Linked DNA regions of Kluyveromyces lactis. The protein of the gene in region 2 purifies or fractionates together with the protein of the main gene of each other region. This does not show direct contact. Links are inferred from orthologs where the notes say so. Each region holds a gene or a part of one and is shown on either strand. Other genes may lie near its edges.

Evidence for each region.
Region 1: the proteins of KLLA0_F17006g (region 2) and KLLA0_C01650g purify together in Saccharomyces cerevisiae (affinity purification with mass spectrometry, with the first as the bait; 3 studies listed by BioGRID). This does not show direct contact. The link is inferred for Kluyveromyces lactis from reciprocal best matches to the Saccharomyces cerevisiae genes RIM11 and GIN4.

Annotation. Positions count from the first base shown.
Region 1 is NC_006039.1:126,873-130,919, reverse strand, and holds the start of KLLA0_C01650g (uncharacterized protein), read right to left. Parts: upstream 2,802-4,047; coding exon 1-2,801. Other genes in the region: SUMO family protein SMT3, read right to left, coding at 3,697-3,978. UniProt on the Saccharomyces cerevisiae protein: Serine/threonine-protein kinase which regulates the localization and the function of the septins during mitosis. Phosphorylates SHS1.
Region 2 is NC_006042.1:1,561,333-1,564,591, reverse strand, and holds KLLA0_F17006g (serine/threonine protein kinase RIM11), read left to right. Parts: upstream 1-1,485; coding exon 1,486-2,733; downstream 2,734-3,259. Other genes in the region: KLLA0_F17028g (uncharacterized protein), read left to right, coding at 167-685. UniProt on the Saccharomyces cerevisiae protein: Serine/threonine protein kinase that is thought to function in regulating kinetochore activity and entry into meiosis. Could phosphorylate IME1.

The DNA.
Region 1 (4,047 bases), on a different chromosome or scaffold from region 2:
ATTGTTTTGTGGGGCTTTTGTGTCTGATCGTTTGGCTGGTAAATGCCAAGCCCTAATGCTCCATTCTCGTCGGCTACGTCATGAGATACCTGCAATGGAGGTAACGACGGCAAGTTAATATCCTTATCATTAGTACTTTGTTTTCTGGCATCAGTAGATTCCTTTCTGGCGGCAGAAGCTAGTTTTCCTTCCTCTGTTTCTGGTACTTCGAACAGCTTAGAATTTTCATCAAGCTCTTCAACGGTCTCAAACATGAATTCTGGTTCCTGTGCAACCTTGGATGATGAGTATTCAGGTTGGCCAGGTAGAGGTTCAAGATAATTATCGTTCTTCAAATGATCCACAAGGTTCGTGAATGAAGTCTTAGTTGAATACAGTGACAATACAGAAAATCTTTTGTTAGAGGAAGAGAAATGTTTTGACCTCCTTGTAAATTGTGGAACTTTGACTTCTGAGAGCTTTCTGGGTTCAACTTCGTCATCTCTGAGAGTTGCAACTGCTTTAGCATTCTTGGGTAACTTTTGAACCTCGTACTTTGCAGTCTGTTCAGAGTACTTTCTCAATTGTTCTTGTCTCTCTTTAGATACTAAATCCTTTTGGGCTTTCTCTAATTCAACGTTCAAGTTAAATTGCGATCCAAGGAATTTGGAGCGTCTAATGGTTTCCAGAATAGTCTTTTCCTTTGACGCTTGGTCATCTTCTAGGTTAGCTGACAGTCTACTTTCAGCAGCTATGATACCAGGGTCAAGTCTGGAAACTGGTCTCGTTTGTAGAGAGAAGTTTCTTGTATTGATTAGTTCATTGATGTCATTCTTTATACCGAATGTACTATCTCTTTTGTTTGCAGTTCTATCGGTCTCTATCGGAGCAGAGACAGATCTTCCATTGGCTGTGTTTCTTTCATCCGAGCTCCCCTGAACAGCTTCATATTCCGCCTTGAGCTTAGCAATTTCGTCTTCCATTTGGTCTTGCAATTCCTTCTGTCTTTCAGCTCGCTTTCGTTCTTCTCTTTCAAGTCTTTCTTGCTCCTCCCGCTCGATCCTTTCCCGTTCCTTTCTTTCAGCTTCCTCCTTCTCACGAGCTTCGTTGACTTTTCTTTCCAACTCTTCCTTCTCTTTCCGTATTTGTTCGTATTTCTCATGCTCGAAAATCTGATCCATCAATGTAGCAAAGTCCTGACTTGTCCTTTTCGTTTCCTTTTCGATGTATTCCCATTCACTGTCTTCGGAAAGTTTTGCATACGTTGCAATCAGTTTCGTTGTTATAGATCCACGCTTCATATTAGGCAGTAGAGAGAATCTTTTGGATTGTCTCTTTGATTGTCTTTTGTAGTCACGAAGCATTTCTTTAGGGACGGGTGGAGCTGCACTATCGTTTATCCTGGAAACTCTTTTATGAGCAGCAGGGGTTGGAGAAGACGAATTGGAGACTAGCTGTGAAATTCTCTTGTTTGAAGGGAAAGTCTTACTCAAACGTTTACCTATTGAGCCGTTTTTCACTGGTGAGCTATGTTGGCTACTCAGTTTTTGCATTGATACAGGTCTTTTGTGAGAAGATGAGGCAACTATGATTGATGTTCTTTTCTTCTTTGGAGTGGTGACTGGGGAATCAGATTTATTAGGAGATGGTAAAGATCCAACGTACATCAGCGAATTCGAAGAGACAGATTGTTTCTTTTGTAATTCTTGTTGCTTCAATTGATCTTGGTAATTATCGTGTTTAAATCTATGCAGTAAAGCGTAAAAAGTCTTTTCTAAATTAGCACCAGGTTCCATCAACTTCGTAATAATGTCTTCCTTATTTCTACCATGCCATAGAACAACCAAATTCTGCAAAATAGTTTCATCTACGCATTGATTTCCTCCTTCTAATGATAGTGGATTCAAATAGGTATCTTCTCGAGGTAAGTTTCTAATGGATTTAGAGTCCTTAATGCTTGGGTATTTTCTTAGAAGTGGATGCTTTAGGATCTCTCTTGTCTTGATTCTTTGTTCTGGATCTACTGTTAAGATTCTGGCGATTAAATCTTGGGCTTCCGATGATATTTCATCATCTCCAGGCATTTCAAATTTCCCACTTTGAACCTTTAACAAGAGATTTCTGATATTGCCATCTTCTTCATCAAATGGCAACCTACCGGTCAGTAAAGCGTAAAGAATAACACCACATGACCAAACATCGGATTCAAAACCGTGATATGGCAAGCCCGAGACAATTTCGGGTGCCGCGTAATGAGGCGAACCACAACTAGTTTCCAGTAATTTATCTTTTGATTCTAGTGCTGCCATACCGAAATCGGCTAGTTTGACATTGAATTTATGGTCTAATAAAAGATTTTCAGGCTTCAAATCACGATGAACTATACCTAACGCATGGCAGTAAGAAATACCGATAATTATCTGTCTGAAAAATCTGACTGCCTCATTCTCAGGTAATGGGCCCCTTTCCACCAACAAGTTGAATAACTCACCTTTTTCAACGTACTCTAAAACCATATATAAATCTTTTGAAGTTTCCCAAACATCGTATAATCTCAAGACATTAGGATGATTCAACAACTTCATAATGATAATTTCACGTTCAATACCATAGGGTAAGACATCAGGATCGTTACCACCAATCATTGTCGACCCTTGAGCGTTGAATATTGATTTTGATATAATTTTCACAGCGGCTTGTTGTCCTTTAGTTTCATTATAGGCCATTACGACTTTACCTGTTGAGCCAACACCCAGTGTCGAGCCCAACTTCCACGGGCCAATTGTGTCACCCTTTAACGTCGTTATTCCGTTACCGTTCATTTCTGATATATTGTGATAGTATTGGCCAAGCTACAAGTTATAATGTTCCCCAGTCGCGTAAAGGTTTGAATGATAATTTCTTATGAGAATGAATGTGGTGTAATATATCGTTTTTATCAGAGTGAGATTCGCTTGCCTAGATAAATAACTCTCTATGTCTGATATCTGGTACCGTCTAGTGAATTCAATTGGTCGTGGTTGAAGATGGTTGAAGTGAATTGAAATTATTTTTTTCACGATAACTTTTATGGTTTAATCTACTTCCAGTTTTATGTGATGAGCCTTGTCTCAATTTCTCAGTATTTCCCTCAGGTACAATTTTCACCAAAGAAAAACACAATTAAACTTCACGTCTTGGTATATATGTATGCCAAATAACAATGGAAGAAAAAACCTACCAAATTCAAAACGAGTGTGGCAGAAAACTATTAACAAGACAGCTAATATTTCTTCCACTTCTGGTAAATTATTCTTTCTAAAATCATTTACTGTAACAGTTATACTAATTGAAAAGAATGTTCACCATACTAGGAAGGAAAATGACTTGAAAAAAAAAAGACCTAAAAACGCGAAACTTGAAGCAAACCTAGCTTTTCGAATCGAAATAGGAATACAAGGGTGGTAATTTGCAGGAGGTCTGTTATAAGCCCTGCCATTTGATACCCAATCTCTTTTTTCTTTCCATTCGGATTTCATTTCTAATTCCATACCGACTGTTTTCCCTGGGGAAATGCAGATAAGCTTGCGGGCACTTTTCTTGTTGTTCATCCAAAGTAGTTTTAATATTCCAGATACATAGTCAGTTATTATAACATTAGATAGGTTACATTGAAAGATAAAAAAGGATGGGAATGCTGTAGTTGATCCCACTTACTGCTGCAAAGTACACTCCCAATTACAAACTACCACCAATTTGCTCTCTGTGAGCTTCAATGATATCGTTATCTTCCATGTCCAAATCTTCAGGGGTCTGATCTGGTAACACACGCACACCGTCGTAAAGGAATCTTAGGGATTCAATCTCTTTACCTTGTCTCTTAGCAAATGCCTCCATTAATCTTTTTAATGGAGTGGTCTTTTTGATCTTGAAGAAGATCTCACTGGATCCATCCGAAACCTTCAAGTTAATATGTGTTTCTGGCTTAACATCCACCTTTTGTTCTTGTTCTTCTGACATTTCAAACTGTGGTTATATATATAGGCGTTGAAGAATGGAGAAACAGGATTCAATGAATGTTTAAAGACT
Region 2 (3,259 bases):
ATTTGTGTCTGATAAATGAATTTACAGTAGTGATGAAAAATTTGTGTAAATAATTCACGCGTATATAACACCAGAGGTTGATAAACTCCATCGTTTAGATGACTTCACCAAGAACGAGAAAAGCCATACCCCGACCAGTCGTAACCACCAGCAATACAGACGAAAGATGTTCAAAAAGATTAGAGATAAGATTCATCCAACATACAATCCTGAGGGCATCACGTGGACCAGACGCAAGTCTGGTCCACAAGTGGTAGCCGAAGTACCAGTTGTTGTCGACAAGAAAACTGGACAGAACGGCAAGGCCAAGAGCAAGAGCAAGGATAAAGCTGCCGGTGCACTACCTTGTCATGACAGATACACAGAAGAGCTCGATGTCGAGCTCGTTGTGAAACAGCTCAGTTTGGAAGACGAACTGAAATTGGTACATGATGTAGCGATGGAATCCATCGTTGCGTCTGACATTTCATCACCGTCGTCTTCATCGACAACAACGGCTTCCTCTGACAAAAATGCTAAACACGTGACATCCAAAGCTTCGTCTACCGTTCCGCCCCACAAACAAATTACCGGCAATAACGCCGCCCCATCACGTCGGGTAACAAGTATGTATACAATTTTCAATTTGGAACTTTTTTTCCGACCCCCTTTCCCTATCGGCACCCTTTGCTCCATTTGTCCTTGATCCCTGCCTAGGTGGCCCCTGAGTGGCTTCCCTGCTTGGTTTCCTGGATGTGATCGGACTAACGGAGAAGTACTCACGAACTTCCACTTTTCCCTGGCATCCGGTTCCAGGAAAAACTATACTATTTGAACAAGCAATCTTCTTCCTATTAAGTAATACTACGAAGGGGCAAACTGTTCAGTAGTCTGGCTAGTCAGTTCCTAGATTATTCTGTCAGACAAAACACTTTTCTTGCTTTCTACGCATATACAAGGGAAGGCTCTCAACCCAGTCATGCTTTCAGGCAAAAAAAAAAAAACTATTTCGATTTCTCTCTCCTTCAATTTTCCAGTAAGCTGATTCGATACAATAAATGTCTGGACTAACAAAGCAATTTGCAAGCAGTTTTAGTTTACTCTTTCCGCTTAGTATTTATTGTCTGAATAAAACTTTGAGAAAGACATGAGGACATTGGAAAATTTTTCATTGAGCCAGACAAGAAAGACGATAAAACTGTTGTTTTTAACCTGATTCTCTCCCCCCCGCATAATATTTTGAATCGGTGTGCGCGTGTGTTTGTGAGTGCGTGTGCTGAATATTTTATTTTACTGGTCTTAGAAGACGTTGCGTGTTTGAAGTTTTTGGAAAATTTGGTGAAATTTAAGGTAAAAAAAAAAGAACACCAAGAACAAGACTTCGCATATAACAATTAACACACACAGACAGATCAATCACTTCTTATCTGTTGTGAGAGAGAAAGGATTCAGAGAAAAGTGTGCATGTCAGCATAGTTTTAGTACAATACTCCTTTTTTTTTTTGAATGAAAGTTGGTGAATTGCTCGAAAGTAGCGGTGCCGGTGGTTCAAGATCTATTATTGCATATACTAACGATAAAAACGCTGGTTTTGAGACAGAGATGGATTCCATTTTACCCAGTGATGATTTAAAACAAGGCAGTCTTCATAGTAAGAACAGTCATGGTAATGATGTTAAAATCGTTCCAGATGAAGACGAAGTAATAACCCGAAGGACTGTGGTGAAAGGCCATTCCAACCCCGAGGAGTCAGTTGTTATTTCATGCGGCACACCTGAAATTGTGGGAAATGGTTCGTTTGGTGTCGTTTTCAGAACAAAAGTGAAAGAGACTGGGGAGGATGTTGTCATTAAGAAGGTTCTACAGGATAGACGGTTTAAGAATAGAGAACTGGAGATCATGAAATTGATCAGTCATCCGAATTTGATCGATTTGAAGTACTATTTCCTTGAACAATCGGACCAAGAACTTTATCTAAATTTGATTGTAGATTACATGCCCATGTCTCTTTATCAACGGCTCAAAGAGTTCATTTCCTTGCATCAACCAATGGATCGTTACGAAATCAAGATTTACATGTTCCAATTGTTCAAATCTTTAAACTATTTGCATCAAGTGGTCAATGTCTGCCATAGAGACATCAAACCACAGAATATTTTGGTGGATCCAGATACTTTACTGTTGAAAATCTGTGATTTGGGGTCTGCTAAACAGTTGAAACCAAACGAGCCCAATGTGTCATATATTTGCTCCCGTTACTACAGAGCCCCAGAGTTGATCTTTGGTGCTACCAATTACACAACAAAGATTGATATTTGGTCTGCAGGTTGTGTTATGGCTGAACTGCTATTAGGACAACCCATTTTCCCTGGTGAATCTAAGATCGATCAATTGGTTGAAATTATTAAAGTTTTGGGTACACCAACCAGGGAAGAGATCTGTTCCATGAATGAAAACTACTCCGAACATAAGTTCCCTCAGATCAGACCGATCCCATTGAATAGGATCTTCAAGAAGGAAACACAGGAAACTATAGACTTATTATACCATATCATGAAATATGATCCTAATATCAGATACAGCGCTTTACAATGTATGTTCAATTCGACGTACTTCACTGATATCGTCAGCAACACCGGGTCGGACTCAAACCTTTCGTTGATCGATTCTTTACCATTGCTACATTTTGAGGAAAGTGAATTACAAGGGTTGTCATCTAACGATATATATAGATTGACTGGCAAACTGATATAGAACCGACAAGACAAAAGGAAAACTAAAAACAAAAAAAAAGACTAGTTGAGAGAAGGAAATATGCAAATACAAATGCATTAATGTAACGTTCTACCCAGCACATCCAAAGAAAATGAAATTAATACACGAAATTAATGTGCATACAAATAGTTACTTCTCATATGCCTACTTGTTGCAGGCAACACCGTTGTTCAATGCTATCCTACGCTCCCCCCCTTTGCATATCATATTTCTCTTCAATTTTAAAGTTCATTTCAATGTCTTTCGGAAAACCTATAGTTCTATCCTGTCCCTAATAGTGTTCATATTGGGCAGTGGATTCTTTTTATTTATGTTAAGCATTCCCTATTCCTCACTAGGAAAAGGGCACTTGGACATCATAATTCTTCCTTTTATAGCAATACTTTTCTTTCTAGCTTCCGTCCTACCTTTTTCATACCGGATTTCACCTTGTCAGTTCATAATAATATCAATACTCACCTATTAAGAGCCACATGACGTGCGTGCGATTGAGTACTTAAAAACT